Drosophila melanogaster: one gene and its partner. The protein of the gene in region 1 interacts with the protein of each later gene in a pairwise test. Each region holds a gene or a part of one and is shown in the gene's direction. Other genes may lie near its edges. The genes, in order: CG13186 and CG6688.

What was found.
Region 2: the proteins of CG13186 (region 1) and CG6688 interact in a two-hybrid assay, tested with the Drosophila melanogaster proteins (one large-scale study listed by BioGRID).

What each region holds. Positions count from the first base shown.
Region 1 is NT_033778.4:12,076,830-12,086,397, forward strand, and holds CG13186 (uncharacterized protein), read left to right. Parts: upstream 1-4,446; 5' UTR 4,447-4,488; coding exon 4,489-4,920; 3' UTR 4,921-5,228; downstream 5,229-9,568. Other genes in the region: CG8888 (uncharacterized protein), read right to left, coding at 224-469, 2,466-2,489.
Region 2 is NT_033777.3:23,008,556-23,020,415, forward strand, and holds CG6688 (uncharacterized protein), read left to right. Parts: upstream 1-3,856; 5' UTR 3,857-3,958; coding exon 3,959-4,117; intron 4,118-4,186; coding exon 4,187-4,255; intron 4,256-5,360; coding exon 5,361-5,483; intron 5,484-5,595; coding exon 5,596-6,519; 3' UTR 6,520-6,920; downstream 6,921-11,860.

The sequences.
Region 1 (9,568 bases):
TGGTTTTGGCTTGGCACTTGTACCCGGCCAAAACGGAAGGGAAAAATAAAGACCGTTCCCGGCAGACAGAGCCCCTAACTTATGGACGCCCGTGGCGCTGAAACCGAAACCGAAAACCCCAAGTCCAATACCAATCCCAGGCCCAAGCCCAAGACACTCCGATCCCTTATGCGGTTTTCGCCAGAATTAAGGATTAGAAAGTCTGCCAAGCGGGATGACTTACCTTGACGAAGTGATAGAAGAGCACGGCTCCCACGGTGGCCAGAGCGAACCAGACGAACACGGCGAAGGTCGAGATGCTCGAGATGTCCAGGGCGTGGAGCAGGTGCGATGTGACAATGGCCGCCGCCTGGCAGAACAGGAAGGGCATGAATAGTCGCTCGAATATGTCCCAGGGAATCTCGTGCGACTTCTGCGGCAGTGCCGATATGGATCCTCGTCGCAAGGAGGCGCGTCGCGAGGCACGGCGCTAAAGGATAAAAGATATATAGATACATAGATAGATATTAATCACGGTGGTATATATGCCAATTTAATTATTCATTTCATTGCAGCGCATTTAGCATTTCAGTTTTCAGCTCTATAAATAGCCAGACAAAATAGCTGCGCCTTGTTTGTTTGGGAAATATTTAAACAATTGTGGCAGCTCTCGTTTGTTTGTGTTTTGATCAATAAATAAGGTGAATATGCAAATTATTGCACGCACTCATTGTTTTTATTTCCATAGCGGAAAATCAAAGATATCCGATTGGAAATATTCCCAGAATTGCATTGAGTGCTTTCTTCTGCTTGACAGGTGTCCTGAGTTTACCGGAATTGTCGGGGAAGCTGTGAAGTTTTATTTGGATTAGTCGGGAATTCGCTGGAAAACTCTGAGCGGCAATCTGTTGCCCGCCAATCGAGAAAAGCTGATGAAAATCTTTTGCCATTTGCAATCCATACAATTTATTGACTCAGGACTTCCGATTTGGTGCTCGTTGAAATCGATAATACTTCTGCTCAATGTTCGAATTCAATGGCTGATGAAATGGTCGAGCACATATTTGCCCAACAATATATCATCGGGCATTTCATTAAAGCTAACCAATTGCAGCCACAGGATCCGGAAACGACCACAAGCACTTACACCAACATATACATATGCTTGCATTTATCAGACGCTAACCCACACATTGACATTGACGTATAGCAATTACACATGACGTGCACAATACTCTCGAAAAAGTGTGGGAAAGCCACTGGAAAATCGGTCGGTTGTGTGTGTGGGAAAAATGGCTGGCAAGAGGGCACCCTTGGCAGCCCCTTTTGGCCATTGGCCATAAATCAACGACAGTGCGAAATAATCAAATGGTGGCATCTGCATAAATACAGAAGCCAATTGATTTATTCGGCCTGAAAATAAAGCAATTCCATTTCGGTTGCTTCGACTATTTTTCCTTCGCCGGATTTGTAAAATCGCCGGATCTATTTATACCTCCTAGTGCTGTCTGGAATATTAAAAGGAAATCGACCATGTCATTTCGGATTGCTTTCGTCATCCGGCGACCTTGCCACCAATTTTGGGACTTAGTTTGCCACAGATACGTGAGTATTATATGTGACTAATGCCGCCATTCTGTAAGTGGCCTACATATGGGCGACAATTTCGATCCGATCTATGTATGTACATATACATATATGCACTTGCTGCCGGTTCAGATATATCTATATTTATGTGTATTTATGTACGATTTATGTACTTAATGGGGTCGCTCAGCTGCCAAGAAATCGGTATATGTCTCCAAGCTTATTTTTATTATTAATAAAGATATGGATATTTATTTTTAGATGATGCGGCCGAATCAAATGGAATGGAAAGTTCTGGCATTGCAAAAATACTCGCACTGTATTTTCATGATGAAAATGTATTTGATGTGTATTTCGTTTGGAAAAAATCCAATCCCTTGTGGAATGTTCATAATCGTTTGCCTCAATGTCAAGACTTTTATTGTGCAAATCTGATTATAATGTAGTCATTATAACATTACTACATCCATTTAAGTTGCACTTAAAATCCCAGGCAGGCGGTAGAATTTTGACAAGTCTCTGGCGGAACACTTAAATTTTACATCTAGCATTTTGCATCTAGCATTTTGCATCTTTCAATTTCTAGTGGCTCGCACGTACGTTGACCCACTTGGATCGTGGCCATTAAGTGAATTTTTGTAATTAATTTGGCGGCCCGTTCTGAACACCGCATGACTTCCTGCCTTTCTGCTCCTTCGTTGCCGCCAAAGGATATCCTTTTCTTCTGCGGCCAAAATGGGCGTGGTTATGCCAGACTGGAGTTTGTGTATTGGCATTTCTGGGTTAAGCTAACTGGGCTAAGTGTGCCATAAGGTATACACAAACGTGGCGACAATAAATTTGGCCTGCGTAAACATGGCCACAAATGGCTTTTTTGCCGCAGGCTAGATTTCACTTACCATATTGTTATCGAAGACCTGCATGACGGATGCTGATGATGGTGTAGATGGTCGATGGTAATGTTCGGATTTTCACGCACTTTCCCAATGAAGTGGGCAATTCTCGTAGTCTTAGACTATAATATATCCGGTGCTAGAGTTTTAGATTTTTTTTTGTATTGTATATATTTTCAAGATCGATTTTCCGCAGCGGTACGGTTTGGGGGCCCGTGGCCTGGGCGCTCTGAGACACGGCGTGGCACTAAGCGGTACGATCGAGTGGCGCTGCCTGCAGCTGCCGAAAATTTTCGCTCGCCGATCGACGATCTCTGCCGCTGCCGCTGGCGACGTCGACGTCGACGTTCAAGTTCTGTTGTATTTCAAAATGATGCAAGCAGCAAATTGTCGTTTTGATTTTTTAAAAATATATCTGAAGTATGTGCAGACATGCGTATGTGGGATACATATACACACGCTGGCACGCCTATTCAGAATAATAAATATATTTAAATATTTGTTGCTCTTGGCGCTGCCCCACTGAAGCCGCAGCATCGATGATTATTTTTCCACAGCGGAAAAACAGCAGAAAAAAAACTCCGAGTGTGCAGATACATTTGTTGAAATATTCTTTTTGGCTCATTTGAATATTGCTTCAAAATGACCCTAGTTTTGAATACACAGTTTATGCGCATAATTAGTATGTGTGCAAACGCCAAAAGTTGCATTCTTAACCCCACAACGAATAGATTTCTGTTGTATGTTTCACTGTGACGTCATTGTCACTGTTGTTTACAATTGCGTTGTTGTTAATTTGCAAATTGCATTTTCATATACATTTTTGGTTTTTTATTTTTTTAAATTCCCAGCTCTTTGCTGCATTTTGTATGCTTTCATTTCGGTTTTATTTGTGGGCCGATGTTGGGAAAATTGGAAAATTGCATAAATAAACCATGACCCTCTGGGTCAGAGGGGGTTGGGGGGGATCAGGAAAATGCGGGCCACGTGTGGGCAGCTGAAGGTAAAAAATCATTCAGCTTCAGCCACGAGAAATGGAGAAATAAAATGCAATAAATGACCATTTGCAATCTCGCAATCCCGCAACCAATAAAATCAAGCAAATAAAAGAGTGTTGCAATCATGTTTACGCTCCAAAATAAGAATTTAAATGATTCCAATTAAAAATGCACAAATTATATAAGAAGACTATGTTTGCTCTTAAAATCAGTTCAATTAGATGTCCTTCAAACACTATTAAGAGACTTGAAAATAATAGGGTTTGCGATTTCATTCTTCATTTTTTTATGAAAACAATCCATTGATTTGGTATTGGTATCTTCTTCCAGCTTATGATAAATATCAGCGTATTTTGTGATAAACCTACATTCAATGGAATCCGTAAAGAATATCTGATAGTCGTCGAAATGCTCTCATCGTATAATTTACTTGCTTTAAATACTCGATTTTTATGTTTTCTCCCATTGTTTATGCATGTTTTTGTGTCCAACAATATATTATTGTTATGCATAGAATTTGTTGAGTAGCTTTTCTGCATGAATATAGACAGTGCCATAAATTGACGTCTATATTGGAGCTTTGCATATATACAAAACAAAAATCTATATATAATGAACAAAATTGTGGCTACCCAGCCAATGGAAGCATTTTCCCCTGCATCTATACAATATCGTTTTTTGTAATTTTTTCAAAGGCGGCTGCGTTGTCAGTCAATGTAGCCAAATTAACAAACGAACAGCGATTCTTTTCGTATGCGTGCCACCAAAAGTTGTTGACTCTTTCGGATTGTCATGCATTTTAAAAATAGGCGCAGCAAAAATATTCTGGACATCGTTGCGCACTTTGAAATGTACGAAAGAAGATTTATGGTTCACAGTACTTTTGTACCAGAGAATCATAAGTGAACCAAAAAGCAATCAATCAAAGCAATTATGAATTCTAGGATTGTCAACATTCGAAATAAAAATGGGTTTTGGTTATTAACAAAATCACTTCGAAATTGTGAAAGTAATCTAAAAAAAAAACCACAATGCCACCAAAGAAGCCGGCAAAAAAGAAAAAGGACGTGGACTGGTCCTCCGATGAGCATTTCTCCAAGGATCGTTCCATGATCTACATCGAGCACACGTACGAGTGTCCCATTTTCCAGACCAAGGCCGACGAGTGCGGAACATTCTTCACGCAACGGATACCGGAGCGCAAGTTCCAGCTGGTGAAGAATCGAAACGGACGCCAGGTTCCGCGGGAAGGAGCCTTCGAGATAGGGTTCTCGCAAAATGCACGCACCTCGGAGCATCTGCTGTGGTCCGGCTTGGAGAAGGGACCGCCGCGTCGGGATAAGTTCCCACTGGACTACGAGGCACTGGTGCCCGATGTGAACAGGATACTCAAGAAATTCTATCCCGACAAGGCGGTGGGCGTGGACGCTGACGACGGGGATGAGGAGAAAGAGGACATGTAAACATTTGCCGCACTTTGTTGTCTGAATTATTATAAAGTCTTTACCATAACAATGGCTAATACATGGCGTGAAAAGTAAACAATCAGCCAGAGACCTGTTGGAGCAACTTTAAGACGTCATCCACCCACGCGGACAAAATGCTCGGCGATTAGTGCGATTCTTCTTTGGCTTTTGTGTGTGTAATATTGCTGGTATTGTTGACTGACGTACTGACATCACACTTTGACAGCTCCTTTCAAAAGTTAAATGCTTAAATCGACCAGAATAATTAACCCAATACAATGCTGCCACATTAGCAGCCACACGATATATATGTGTATATATATATTATTATTACTGCACGGGGACATTAGCGACGCGTCCTATTGTCTGGCTGAGAAATCAGGGCAACTAAATCGGGACATGTGGTGTGTAGTTGGTAGTGGGTGCTACTATCTCGTTCACTTGGTGTTGACACAACAAATACCCCGAAATACATTTTCAATGTACACAATAGAGGACGAGTAATCCAAACAATTTAAATTGAAAGCTGAATTTGAAACAATAGACAAAGGGCACTCACATGCTAGCCGGCTTTTAAATGCTCTTAAAACTATAAAGTGAAAACTATACGAGCAAATCAATTTCCTATAAGCTTTTAGCTTGCATTTGCATACAATAAATGTGCAATCTATATGTTGCCTTCAAATCAGCATGACGCCCTAGTTGCTTTACATAAATAAAGTGCAAGAAATGGTATTTTCATTTGCTGTTCGCCTTTGGATTTTAATCCAAACCCTAGTCCTAGAGTAACATTTCCAAAAAGAGCAGCAGAAAACACATCCACATCCAAATCCATTGCGGATGTATTTGAAAATTGCAATGTGCCAGCAACACAATGGGCAGCTAGCTAGCTAGGAAAGTGGCTGGAAATAAATAAATTGGTAAACCGAAAAACCATCGACCGAGGGCAACAGAAAATTTGCCACTGCAAACTGGCTAGGGGGAAGAAGCCAACAAGTCGTGAAAGTCCAAACCAAATTACATTGTGGGCCAACAACAGCGATGACAATAACAAATACCAGGAATCCAGAGGGGTGCTTCCATGCTTGGCCCTTGGGACTAATACTAATACTCTGCCAACATTAAAAGTACAAAGGCAGCGTGAAAAGTTGCAGTGGAAAAACAAGAGGATTTGGTTGCCTTTCGATGATTACGTGTGTGCAAATGCGAAACTATGGCTCTGTGGATTCTCACCAGAGTTTTCCCAGCTCCACAGTTCGGAGCTCCAGAGCTCCAGAGCTTCACAGCTCCGGAGTCCGGATGCAAATGCAAATTAGTCTGGGTTACAGATGGTTTTTTGATTGACTGGTTATGGTGGCTGACTTTCAGCCACGATTCTAACGCAGTGCAAAGACTAATTTGAATATCACGCATACGTCATGTTCGCCCAGAAACTACAGAGCGTTTTTTAGCGCTTGACCGGCAGACAAAGGCGACTTTCAAAAATATTTAGCAACATTCGTGGCGCAGGTCATTAATATTAATATAATGGCTGTAAAAAATGGCGGGCAGAGGCAGCAGCCAGAAATAACCAAAAAGTAAAAAAGATAAAAATGAAAACGAAAATGTTGCCGCGACATTCCGATGATTTCAACAGATTTTATGCGACCGGCACAAAGAAATGTCAGCGAGGCGTTTTTCGTTCTTCGTATTTCGTGTCACGACTTATTCGGGGAGAAATGGGTTAATGTCCAGTCCAGAGAACGGCCATGGACCATGCAGCCTCCTTCGCTCGAGGTGGAAGTGGATGCATGTGTCAGCTGTCACCGGGATATCGAAGGGGAAACCACACGCCAAGGACAAGCCAGGACGATTGCCAAAAGGCACAGTGCGAAGGGAGCTTTAATGCAAACAGACCGCAACATTTTGCATTAGAGTGTGCGATATTGTGCGATTCCCGGCCAAAAAGTGGGTGTTGGCCCGTTGGCCCGTTGGCCAAAAGCAGTTTGGCAATGCAAGCCACTGACGGCCTGATGTAAAAATAATCCACGCAGGCGAATGCCAGCGAAATGGCACAAACAAACCGAAATGTGTTGTGTGTTATTTTTGAAATGCAATCAGCTGGATGAGGCATACAGCTCCTTCGATTTCCGGACACGTTTCAGTTATCCCATCTATTGATCTTTATATCCAATATCACATAACCCATGTGACCTATCCCATGTCCCATATCCCATATCGCATATCGCATATCCCTTACCCTTTGCTGCAACAAATTGCAGCTGGATCTAAGGGCCATTTATTTAGCAGCGATGCGAAGGCGAATGGGGCAAATGGCAAATGCCAGATGCTGCCATTTTAGGCTTTTGCATTTGTTTTATCGCGCCTAGTCGAAGGTCGTGTGTGTGTGTGTGATGGTAGATGGTGTGTTTGAGTGTGTGTGTGTGTGTTAACCGGGTAAAATCCCCTTTTAATGCGCCAGCTGGATTGGCCTTTGGCTGATTGCACGCCTAACTGGCCTGCAGATTGCATTTGTCACACCTTAATTAAGCAGCTGCGGATGGGAGGAAAGGTCAGGCAACATCATGTTTTTTTCTCTTTGCCCCCTTTTTGCCCTCCTGACCTTTAACCTATTTCGCCGGCAAACAGCATTTTATTTCCATGCGTGGCGGCCATAAAAGGTTCGGTTCTTCCCCACTTTCTGGCCCCGAAGATGATGATAATTCCTTGAGGCCGAATGGAGACGAGCAACCATCTAATTAAGCGTAAATTGGCAGCCACAAAATAGGGTTCCGCGCTCCCAACTCCCGGATGCATTCGTATCCCGGCCATCCGGCCCACCAACCAAATTCGAACGCCCACGACCTTGGGGCCGCCCACAATGTTGCTGTTGTGTTATTAACATGAAATTAGTTTTCGGCTAACGCTAATTAAAATTTACGACACCCGCTTTACCTGCAAAATATTTGCGCAAAACTCCCAAAAGTTTACGCTGGCTTAAACTGGCATTAGAAAGCTTAATCAGAGGATCAAAAAGCTAGGACACACCACAATAATATTATTTTACACTGTTTAAACGCGTCCTGCGAATTTCGACCTTTAAGTTTGTAGTAAATTAAATTGAATTGGCATAATAAGAATTTCATAGCCAAAAGCACATTCAATGTGACTACTTAATTGTTTATTAAATCCAAATGGGCTAATTAAGACCACGAAAGCCCATTAAAAAAAAGTACAAATAAATTTCGCTGGGGCAATCAAGAGGCTGGCCATGAAAACTTCCCATTCTATAAATAATGATAGCCAAGGAATCCGTAATTGCTGTAAGATGAAATTATTATGCGAAATGCACAAAGCGAATACACCTGATGTTGGATATAAAATTGTTTTTCCCAATGCCACAATTGGTCATCCAATTCCGAATGAGTGCAAATAATACATGGAACTTTTTATACTGACTGAGGCTTCGTTTTTATTTAATTTTTACATATACTTCTGTTGCTGTCATATGTATATATATAATCTCATAAATTAGTTTGTTGTGTATATATAGAGATTTTGTTGGTAATACATTTGTTCCTTATGCCGCAAACGCATATAATTAAATTTCAATAATAATAATGGTATCGTTTTTTTTTTGTTTCGTTCGGTTTCTATTTGTTTTAGGGCGTTTTTTGCTTGAACTCGAATCCAGTTTTTGGTTCACCAGCTGGAGATACATATATATATATATATCTGCTGCTATGTACCTCTATATGTATGTGTATGTGTGTATTTATAGAATCGTAGGCAAACTGAAGTAGGTATCATTTATAACCATAAACACACAGATGTACATGTACACATCTATGTATGTATATAGCTGGTAGTTCTTGCCTGGAGTTTCGCAGTTGTCATTCTCCCGCATCTATATATGTATGTATATTCCACATCCGACTCGCTTTCATTTACATTATACATTTATAACCATAATAATTTACAAGTTAAATGGCTTAGAAATTATTAGTAGGACTTCCTGTGTGGGCTACCATACTCATACTCGTACGTACATAATACATAAAACACTTTCTAATTAAAGTTAAAAACGTCCTTCTTTGTGTCGCCTCATCCTACATCGTCCTACATCGTCCTACATCATTCTACATCCTTGTCCTGTTCGGTACGTTTCGGTTCGTTTCTGCTTCTGTGATGTCTTGTTCGTCCTGTTAGCTTCGGTTTTTGTTCAGTTTTGGTCTATTTACATAGTGAGAATCTCTAAATTACTTAGACTTCGCTATAGCAATCCTCTTTGTTCTGTATTTACATTGCATATCGATTGAAAAAAATGTTTCGCAGACTTTTCTTGACTTTTGGTTTAAGTTAACATAAGAACGTTACAGGAAAAACCCCTCTCCAGGCGGTTAGTTATGTTTTATTCAATGTTTATCAACTAATTTAGGTAAAATACGTTTACATTTAAATTTAGTTTCAACTGGGCTGCTGTTCGCTGTGCATTTAAAAATAGTGCAAAAATACATTTTACAAAAATTTGGTGCATACTTTGAGGCGGTGCTATATAATCACAACATTTACAATTTAAGTGCATTTGCTTGTCGGTGTGTGTGTGTGAGTGTGTGAGCGTGCGTGCATGTGTGTGTGCATGTGGGTGCATGGAATGGGGGAGTGG
Region 2 (11,860 bases), on another chromosome or scaffold:
CTAGTTGACATGCCCATCACGTACACACTCGCATTTATTATGCCCCCGAGTGTGTGTGATTGGGGCAACCGGAGGCCGGAGACCGGAGTCCTCTGATTTCTAGTTCCAACACTTGGACTCATTTGCACCTTTCGACGGGCGATTCCTTCACCTTTCGGCAGCTTCGAGACGAAACCCAATTAATTAGCCAGAAAGTTTCGGTGCCAAGTGGTCGTAATTACGCATACGCCACGTTCGCCAGGCGTAAAATTTGCGCACATAAATCAAAAGTTTTGCGGAGCCCAGTCAAATAAAAAACAAAAACCAAAATAGAAAGGGTTTCTTTCAAACTTTTTAGCACCAAGGAAAATCAATTAAGCAACAAAGCCAAGCCGGAACTCATATATATATATGTACATATATACTGTATATGTATGGTATTAGCTGTTCTACCAACTGGAATTCTTTAGCTTAGTCACAAATCGATATCGAAGTCATCAGATTCGCTTGGCTGTCAGTTTAAAAGATTCTCACTGCGAAATTGATTATGTTTCTTGCACTCGAGAACATTGAGTAGACTGAGAATTTATAGCTTCCTCCTTGGCTGTCTACGCACGCGGATACAGATGTGAGTTTGAGTACGACTATGAGTTCGAGTGCGAGTATGGCAAACTTGTTCAAATCACTTCACTTCACTTCTACTGACATTGGCCATGAAATCGCTATGACGTCGGCTTATTGAAGTGGGCACAGCAATAGTTAAGGTAATCATTGAACAATAAGCTGGCCATCAGCCAACGATGTGCTGCTGTCCCTTGTAAGGGCAATCAAGATTTCGATTTAATTATCAAACCGCACGAATTAGTTAAAGCTGCACCCACAAAAAAAAGATAAAAAAGAATCTTCAAAAGCACTAAACCAATGAAGCGCATCGCTTGGCTGGCAAACAATTACGCAAACCCCAAAATGCAGGATGACTGCCACTGGTAACGCTCCAATTAAGGTCCAAATTTAATTGCCCACAGGCATGTTTATACCGTAAAGTTAACGCTATGAATCTTTAGCTTAGTAGGAAGCGAACTTGGCTCAAACGCGTGTGAATTGCAACTGAATCGGCCGAAGGCGGTGCAGTGCACATAGCACACAAGTTGCAGCTCGACTTGAGTCACACGTCTTGGTGGTGGCCGCTTTCGTTTTCAGTGTATATTGAGTCAGTGGCAAAACTGGCGAGGCGAGACTAAAACAAACTCGCACGAAAATTGCGTCACAATTACACGAAAGAAACCGCAAGCGAAAAAAAAACGAAATAAACACATAAATAAAAAAGCCCCAGAGACAGAGACCCAGAAACCCCAAAGCGGGCTAAAAAAAAAAACGTTGCGCATGCGCCATTGGCGCTGCAGCAGCTCTACAATTAGCGAACTGTGCGACTGCCGTGTAAATTTCGATTTGAACGTGATTGTAGTCTCTTCTTTTTGAACCCCCCCCCTTTTTTCGCACAGTGTTTGCGCAAGCATTGCGTACGAGTACGTACATATATGATTTATGCGCTGTTTCTAATTCAATTTAGACCCGTTTGTTTGCTTTGGAGGTAGAAGGAAATGGAAGCAAACTTGTTTGCCGCTTTTAATTATGCGAGTATCCAGCAAATGCGTTTATAATTGTGCGTTACACTTCCGCGTTTTTATTCTCGCTTTTAGTGTTGGGCATCTGGGCTCTTAGCCGGACCTTGACCTAAGCCAACGCTTACTAACTTGGCTTGGAAGTTGGTGCGGTGAGCGTAAGGTCATTTGGGCCATTAGCCCTTCCATGCTTTGTTAGCAATTACACACCGTTTTTTTTTCCACCGTTTCTGTTAGCCAGCTGGTTAATCAATTTTCACAACTCTCGGCCACGCTAGATGATTTTCGATATCTTTGTGATCGTATCGTAATCACTTTATTTCGGCGCCGGCGCTTCGCACTTCGCGTTTTCCAGCGGAACTTGCGGCGCATGCTCACTTAACCGAATGCGAGTTGCGAAGAAACTGAGGCTCGACTTCTTCACAGCTGACCAGCAGACCTACTAACTTGGCTTAAAGCGAGCGCCACCTGTGGGCAGAGCTTTGCACTTGGCTTCAGCGAGCTTTTCATCGTTTTATTTTGTTTTTTGGAAACCGCATCTACTGGCCACAAACAAGTCGAGAGCCAATAGTGTGAAGAGGCGGAATTGCACTTGAATTTGGCCATTTGCCTTTGGGCCCGGCCTAATTGCTGGCCGATTAATAAAAGTCAATTACCTTTCAGGTGGATGGCTTTCCGAGAAACATGAATTTCGATGTTATTGCCTGGGTAAGTATTCTCTAATTTTGACACTGCTGACGGCTTTTGGCTGCCGAACGCTTCTGCGTGCCACATAAATTTGGCCAAATCTAATTGAACTGGCAAATTGAAAAGCCAAAAACAAATTACACACACACACACCACGCACCACAATGCCGCCCAGGGTCAGTTTTGCTGGGCGCAAATTTAAATGAAATTACCAATTTCAATGCTATTTGGCCAATGTTTTAGACGACCAGAGCAGCGCCAAACTCAAATTACCGCCTCAATGGCAGTTAAACCGGCGATAACAAAACAACAAAAAAGCGAAAGTCAAATGGATGTCGATGGTTTGGCCATGCCAAACCAAATCCATTTGTCAGCTGCCAATTTCCATCAGTTATCATTGTTAGGGTTAATCGACGAGCCGGTTTTAGACCCAATTATTTATTTAGGGCCCCATTGTTTATGTTTATCGCCGTTTGACACCCTAGTGCGGTGCCAACACACTCGTCGTTGTTGTTTTAATTTCTTTTGGCATTTCGAATAATAATATTTTGGTTTACTTGCTGGCCACTCAATCGCAAATGCACTGGCCATTTGACACTGCCAACACGCAATTAAGCCGAAAAATAGTGCTGTTTATTTTCAAATTTAATTACAAAGTCGGAAAACTTTTAAAGTCAACAAATGGGAATTAAACTGATTAAGTTTCGTGTGCATTACTGCTAATAGCGATTTTATCTGATTACGATTTGTGCCAAAACCGTAACCAAACTGTATAAATATACAATTTAACACTTAATTTGCAGGTCTTGTTCAGTTTATTTTGGCTATTTATATTTGTTTGGGCTGTTTTGCTATATTTACCTTAATAGTTTTAATCTCTAGTAACAAAACATGGTATAAGTGATAAGCGCAGCTTTATTGTTTTCAATTTAAGAGAAATAGCAGAAGGTTTCCATGAAAAGCGAAGAGAAATAGCCGAAGGTTTCTATGAAAACTATTGTATTTGGCCATGTTCTCGATTTCACTTCCGCACAATTGTAGCAGCCTGCACATTCGAACCAACTAATTTACCAGGTTATCAAATGACTTAATCGCTGAAGAATTTGTTTATTTATTCGGTATATTTGAAGGTGTCACAATACGTAGACATGCAACTTTATAGCGCACCCAAAAACCGCTGCCAGCCCGAAAGTTCAAATATTTACTTAGCTCCACAAGTCTCATTTCCATGATCTCAGCTGGGTGTCAGCTTTGGATCTCGGAACTCAGATCTCAGATCTCCGATCTCGAATTCCGAATCTCGGATCTTGAACCGCAGCCACATTTTGGCGCCGAGCACTTACAACACCGCGTCAGATGGCCCAAAGTCATTAAGTTGTGGAAGGGGTTAAATGTGTGATGCTGGGGAGCTTGGCCAAAATGTTTGTCGTAGCCGATTGCGTCGGCCCAAAGCGCTCCATGTTCACTGCTCGCCGCTCGGCAACTTTTCAGCCAGCCAGCCAGCCAGCCAGCCACATACACCAGCCAGCCAGCTGGCTCGAAAAAAAATCAACAGACAGACGAAAAACAGTTTGCCAACTGAGAGCGCACGTTGAACACGTCTCTCGCTAGCCGCTTTTTATTTTGGCCCACAACGATCCGAGCACCTGTGCGAGTTTTCTAGCCCGAAAATGAGGAAATCAGCGGGAGGATTTCATTCCACATCCAATGAAGATGGGCAGCATGGCGATGGCTCCTCCGTGCGACTACTGAGAATTCCCAGAGCCGCACCTGCGATGGAGAACTACGGATTTCAGCTGACCCGCAGCAAATGGGATCCCTATCCCTGGGTAATAAAAGTGGCCATCGTTTGGAGATCCCGTCCCCTCCTAATTACCATATACCCATTACACCGACAGGTTTGCGAAGTGGCAGCCGGCACACCTGCCGCTCTCTGCGGCCTGAAACCCGGCGATTGCGTTCTGGAGGTGAGTAGAAGTTAGTGCCACAGGTTGGTGCCACCGTTGTCAGTTCTTTCAGCTCTCAGCCAGCAATGGACTGGCGGATTATGCACAGCGCAGACCAACTGCATTGGTAACTAAACTGCATTGGTAACTCAATCTGCGCCTGAACTCCAGTTACAAAATTAAGAATGCAATAGATCGACGCGGGGATTTACTTTGTAAACCTATTAAGAGCTTATTGAGACTGCTACTCAGGTTCCCAACTATGTGCATTCCACTTAGGATAGAAGAAAACAGAGTTTGAGGAACCCATTAAAATTATAATATATTTATAATCAGAAAAAAGTTCCTTTTGTTAGCTAACAGCTAGAAAAATAATGTAGTTTTTGTTGTAAAGCTAATTATGTATACTTGCGAGTTTTCAAGTCAATAAGTTCTACAAATTTGTGTGAATCGTAAGTTAAGATAAAAAGTACTATTCAGGAAAGCATTCCAATATGATGATTTGCACTTCTAGAAACAAATTCAAATCGCTATGGTCTTTTAAATTACGAATAGCTTGAGCTATGGAAGTTGGACCGTACATATATCCAAGTCTGGACTTTGCAGCCGCTATTGTAGCCGCATTTGTTGTTCTTCGTGGATATTGTTTACTTAAAATAGCAATGCAGTAAAACTTAATTGCTCGGCATCGACTTTATTTAGAAACTTTATTGGATGTGGAGTGGGGAACTAGAAACAGCTGGTGAATGCACAGCCCGCCCTAAAACTAATGACACAACTCGAACGTAGTAAAACAACTAGTTGATGACAAAGATTAATTAGCACGAAGTAAATATTCAAAGCAAATATCAGTTATCAGATAACAGATAACAGCCAATTGAGTTAACAGTGCTAGCTAAGGTTAACATCCGCAAGCAGTGCGTGCGATACAGCCGCAAGCAGTGCTTTCGAATTTGTAATTGTGTTGGCCATATTTTGTGGTATTCATTTGTTTTCTTTGGTAGCTCGTGGAAATCCAAATATTTAGATACTTGGTACTTGCTTTCTGTATGGCACTTATTTCCTAAAATAAATAAACAACATTTCCAGACATTTTCTATAAAATTCTATAATATTTTATTTCCAGGTAAATGGCAACGATGTTTTAGGCTTGAGAGTGTCTGAAATCGCCAAAATGGTGAAGAGTCAAAAGGACTGCGTCACAATTCTCTGTTGGAACAGTGAATGTGATAAGGACTGTGATACTAATGTGAGTATTTTCATTGCAGTCCTGAAATCCTTCTTTAAACCATCAAACACACTCAGTTATCCGTTCCCCATTAAAATCGCGCTAACACAATATTTTTTTCAAAAATCCATAGAGCATCTGCTGCGCCCCCATGCCCACCAGTTTGCGCCGCCTGTCCCTCGTCCTGGAGAGCATCCTGCGCCTCGTCGAGTGTCCTGTCTGCGGGGTGACCATCTCACCGCCGGCGATGCAGTGCCAAAACGGACACCTGCTCTGCGTGGACTGTCGCATCCGCTCGGAGCGATGTCCTGTCTGCCGGGACTTCTACACTCCCCGCCGAGCGCTGTTGGCGGAGCAAATTTTCCTGACCATTGCCAACGCCTTCGAGATGTGCCGCTCGGAGAACAAGCTGCGGCAGAAGCTCTTTGCCGGGATAACACGGCCAGTCGTGGGCCGACAGGACAGGATAACCGGACAGGACACCTGGCGAAAGCGCAGGCCAGTGCTGCCAACGAACAAGTTCCTAACCAAGTTGCTTGAGGGCTGCGCCTACTCGACGGATAACCTCAGTCCCTCGAATGCCGCTACTCTGCTGCGGACTAATACCACGGACGTCGCTGGCGACTCCAGTGAAATCCCGGCCAGAACATCGCCAGTGACAGCCACGCCCCCCGAAAGGACAACAATGCATGCCACGCTTGACGCGAATGCGGCGCATCCTTCACTCTCGACGAATGATTTACAGCAGGAAGGAGTTAAGCCGAATGCCGAGGGCGTTGACGAGGAATCCGGAACGAACAGCAGCCACATCTCTGCCACATCCTTGCATGGCCCTCCGCTACCAGCCTCCGTTAGCCCGGGCATCAATGAATCTTCCGGATTGCAACCCGTTCGCATACCTCCTGTCACTCCAAGCCAAGATTTGCCCCAGCAGGTTGTCCAAACTAAGCCGGCCTCGCTGTTGTACCGCTGTCCCTGCAAGCTGCAGGATCCACAGGATCCTGCAAAGGACCTCCACCAGAACTGCTGCTACAAATCCGCTTTCCGTCTGCTTTGAGCTCGGGCATCTCAATCAACAGCATCCTCTTATCAGGCGCGTCCCCAATTCGCCCCCCGCCCCTCTTGCTGTTTTCCTTTCTAATTAAATTAAATGCCAGTTGCTTGGCCAAAGTTGCTTATCGCGCAAAGAAACGAACCCGGCCAAAGGAATTGTATGGGTGTCAGGCCGGGACAAAGGCCCACGCTGGAGATGCAAAGAAGTTGGTCCAGCTAACTGCAGCGAAGAGTTCAACTTGGCCAAGTTGAGTTCTAATTGAATCACTCCTGAACGCTCCAATGACTTTGTGTCATTTGGCGTCCGAGTTGGTCAGCTCGATAATGAAGTCCGGATGGACTGCATTCAGGGAGCGTCGCAAGAGGAATAAAAATATTTTAAGTCAATTGGACTTTGTGCAAATGATCAATAGAATATGCAACATTATTTGAGTACTTGTTCATTCTAAAATCCTTTTCCCACTGCATACTCAAGGGCACAAAGTACAAACATTTCTCGCAGTGCAGTGCAACTTATGACTGCTGACGGCGACGCCACGCGCAGATGCAGGTCAATCAGTGGCAAAGTGAAGGATGCCGGACAAGCGCGTAATGAGCTTTATTTGTCATCGGGAGCAGGCATGGAACCTGTCCAGTCCCTGGTTTCTTGGTCCTGGTGGTTCCTGATGGCCCCATAATGACAGCCGCAGTTGGACAGCCATTATGCCGGCCGTTTACCATTTAATATTGATGCCGGACGAACCGCATCAATGGAGGAGCGAGCAACGCCAGCAACAGGCTTCAGTTACTCCAAACCGCATTCTTCCTATCGCTGCAGAATGGCCTCCCGCTGCTTCTTCGCCGGAGCGAGGCTGCCATGAAAATGTCATCAAAACAGGAAGTGGCAGTTTAATTTAAGCGCGTTAATTGAATTTTATTTTCTGCTTTGTTGATGTGCCGAACAAAAGCCAGGGCGCCGACCAAGTCCAAGCCGGAGACCATAGACGGTAGTCCAGATCCGCGTCCAGTCCAGCTAGTGCAATGCAGAAATTGATTTGCTGCTGCTCCTGCTGATGCTGCCACTTCTGATGGCGGTGCAGTATTGTGGGTGCGGATTAGTAGGAATGACCGGAATAAACGGCCGTATCCCGTGGTGTCGCCACCTGGCAGAGTCGGCAAACTTTAATTACAAACTTCTATGCGCCATTATGCACTCTGATGCGCGTCCGCCCGTGGAAAACCTGTTTAAATTGCTGTTATTGTTGCATTCTGCCGCCAGTCTTGTGGCCCACAGGCTCAGACCCCTCACATTTTCTAATTGCATTTCATTATCTATTGGAAATTACAGCGATTTCGAGGGTCGATGATGATGGCACCGCTAATGGCAACCGTAACAAGTGCTCCTCCACGTGAATCTCGCAGCGCAGCAATGCAATTAATTTCGCTGTCGCGGGTAAAAGAAATCGCTGCGAAAACCGCGACAAGTGCGCTTGTCCTTCCAATTTGTCCCCCACTACCCATTTCCCCACCCCATTTTCCCACCCTCCCGGCATAATTTGCAATGGGAAACCCAGACCGATCTATTGGTTATTTAATTAATGTGAAGCACTCATTATCGAGTGCAATTTACCTTGGGTAAACACAGGGTTTCAGCTCTTAAAGCATCGCTTCTCCATCGCCTTTCAATTTGCATCCTTGGCTGTTTAAGTTCTGGTTCTGCATCAAAATAAACGGCTCTTTGGGCAAGTTTCGGGCCCGGCTAAGTGGTAATGGTAAAAACAATAAATTCACTTTGAAGCGCAAATTTCGCTGCCACGCCCACTCGAGCACTTGCCGCACAAGTGGAGGTCACGTCAGTGCACCACACGGCGTATGAGTATGGGTATTCAAAGTGCACTTGAAAAAAAGAAAACTTCAATTAACTTAATTATCAGGATTTATAGAGCGCAGGACTTGTAGATGTTACGATATTTAGGTAAGGCTCAAAACTATCACCCTGCACAAGATGTGCTCATTTTCGCCCAGTGTAGCTTATCAGCCGGCAACAGAGACCGACGGTAGAAAGTGTGTATATAGCTTAGCAACAATGTGACCGCCCCAAAGCAAAGGAAAGCGTGCAACAATTTGGAGAATCCTTCTTCCCTTTTGGCGGCGCAGCTGTTTCGTGTGCGGCCGCAACCTTAGAAACTTTCTAACGAGCATTCTGCCCCGTTCCCCTCAGCGATCTGCCCCGCCCGTTCCCTTTAGACCCTATTTGCCACCCCCTACCCCTTTGGCCTTTGCTGTTGCACGCCTCTGGGCGGGCTGTTATTGTTATTGTTTCTAGCTGGCAAACAACATGTGCGGTTGTCATAAATTTAACGCCAAAAGAGCATTTTAAGCAGTCAGCCAAAGACCGCCTGGCAGGGGACTAAGTCTTCTAATTACTCCGAGGGAAAACTTTTTGGCCAAAAGAGCCTCGCATGCGTGTGTGTGTGTGTGCGTGCATCTCGGGCAGAAAAGTTTGACGAGTCGCCCACCGGAAATGCAACGAAATGCAAAATGGTAAATGGTAAATGGGAAATGCAAGCGGCTGCGTGCAAAGTATTTCCATATTTAAATTCGTGCGTTCGAATATTTGAAACGGCAACTGGCAAACGGCAAATGGGAATTATTTATTTAATTAAATATTAAAAAACGTGCTGCGGCCATCTTTTATTGCATTAGTCGCCGTTTCGGGGCCACTGTAAAGTATGGTTCGCGTATCTATTTGATTTATTCAATTTTTCGCCCGTATTAATGTGGCATATTTTTTATTTTTCACACGCTGGCGAAGCTTCTGGCCCCGGCACAAGAAACTTAATTACGGTTGAGCGACGTCGCAAGAGCCTGATTAAATTAAAATGAATATGAATATGAATTGCATTCACATTCGCATTCACGGCGCCTGTAAATAGGCAACAAAGCGACTCAATGGGCGACATGTGAATGACACATTTCACACTGCGATTGAATTAATTGAAACATCCGGTTCGGCTCTCTTAAATCGAAAAACCCAGACCCCGAAAGGCAGCAATTGAAACAATTTGCGTGGCAAATAATAATAACGAACAAAAAAAAAAAAAAAAAAGATACATCGCCCACGGCGGGTAGCCTTGGAAATTAAAATTATAATTCCATTGATTAGAAAATTGTAAATGCATGGAATTTTAGGATATCGCTGTGTGGCGATCTTTCGATTTGCATAATTGCGAACCAAACCGTCGCAACGCACCGAAAATCTGCAAAATCTCAGCCACAACAGCAGCAGTGGGCGGTGGTTTTTGGGGCGCCTTCCGACTCCTCTTGGTGCCCCTTGGTGCCGCCGGGTGGTGCAGATGCTTATCGGGGTGTAACTTTGCACCGACCAGTGGCCACTGCCCATAAATATCAAAAATTCTAACACATGGAATGGGTGGCTTATACTTTTTTTTTTTTTGGTTTTTGTTTTTGGCTTGGCCTGCAGGTGTGGGAATCCGCGAACCTGTTCGCTTTTTGCATCCTGGCGGTTGACTTTTTAATTAAAATAAAAACGAACAGCAAGGGGCAGCAGTGGAAATGCCACATAATTGTCGAATTGTTGCCGCTTGCCACGCGTGCTGCGCGTTGGGCGGTGGGCGAGTGGGCGTGGTCGCCTGAAATGGGCGTTTGCTGATTAACAAAAATAAATTGTGAGCGGGACTTTGGCATAACAATTACTCCGCCACCATGTGGTTATGTGCACCATACATATGTATATGTATGTATGCGTACATAGGATGGCCATTTTCACAAAACTCCACTGTTTTCCTGTGTCTGCGTGTCTGCGCTTTTTGTTTGCGGATGTGTTCTCGTTGAGCTTGTAAATATTTAGCTGCCATCCGCTCGTGTTCGCCGGCGCCTAGCCTAGCTGCACAGATTCCGCCCTTTAACCTCAAAAGCAAAAAAAAATTCATTTCAGATCCAACTAAAATCCGCACTCGAACAGAACGCCAGGAGCCAGCCAATGACCACTTGTAGCCCTCAGCGGGCAGTCCAGCAGTCATTTCGATGACCAGGCATCGAGGGTATTAGCGGGGTGTATTGGCACTGGGGATAAGTTTGAAGTGTGCATTGAAAATTCAACATATTAATCATTGTTAAAGCTATAAACCTGAACTTAAATGAAGTTTCTTTAGTTTTATGAGCTCACTCTCTTTGGCCACAAAGTTAGCACAGTGATAGCTCACTTCTAGTATCTTTTTGTGAAATCAAGTATACGTACTTAACTCAATTTTTGTATAATCCCTTTAAAAATGCGGCATATCCTTCGCCACAGTGTGTGTCTGTGAATACTTTTGTAGTCGGGGTAGTAGTAATAGAGAGTAAGCAAGCAAAAAAGTCAAAATCATGCCTTTGCTCATGTTTTATGTGGGATATTCCGTTGTGTTCTGCTGGGCTGCTTTTAATTGCTTTACATTTTTGTTTATTTTGTTGACGCTGTCCCTGCCGTTCTCTGTGCATGTATGTGTCCGTGTGTGTCTGTATGTGTTTATGTCCTTGTCTGTGTTTGCGGGCTGTAATGAAGACCCGTGTCGGTCTGCATATTAACTGGAACACACTTGCAGCATTTTTAAATGCATAGTGCACCACCCGCCGCCCAACCACCAACTGAACCACCAGAAACACCCGCCCTAAGCATTTTAGGGCCGTAGTTGGACAGCGAAAACAGAAACGAGTCATGGGGATGGCCAAGAGCGGCGGGTTTTTTTTGGTGGGTGGAGGGGAGCGGGTGCGGGAGGTAGAGCTTGCGGCTGCGGCAAGTAAATTTGCGCACGGCTTTCATTGTCTGTCATAAGCATAAATGGTTATTAATATTAAAGTTCATAACGGGCCATGTTAACTGCTCATTTAACGGGACCATCCTTCTGGCCACTTTATTTTTGCCTGACTGCTCCGCCCGCCAGCCAACCAGCCACGCCCTCCTGGCAGCATCCGCCCCCCCGTTTGCTCATTGATATGTCGGCAGTTGTTTACACATTTACAGCCCGCTGTGCACCACAACCATGGCCATTTGCAACCAGTTAACGAAAGAGGCCATTCGAGCCTTATTAAGTCACTAAAATTGCATCGACAGTGCAACATTTCCACTTCCCACTGGCCACTAGCATCAAGTCAAGGTTTAAGGCTTAACACGATCATTTTTAATGAGACACAGAACAGGCTCCATTGGCGGTAATTTCCAATATTACATGATGCTGGGTATATTTTAAATCAAATTAGGGGAATGTGCCACTGATTTAACCCATTTCTATATATGCGCTGAACTTAACGTACCACTGACCCCGAATGAACTGCAATCCGTGCGCAAGCTGAACACAAATTAATTT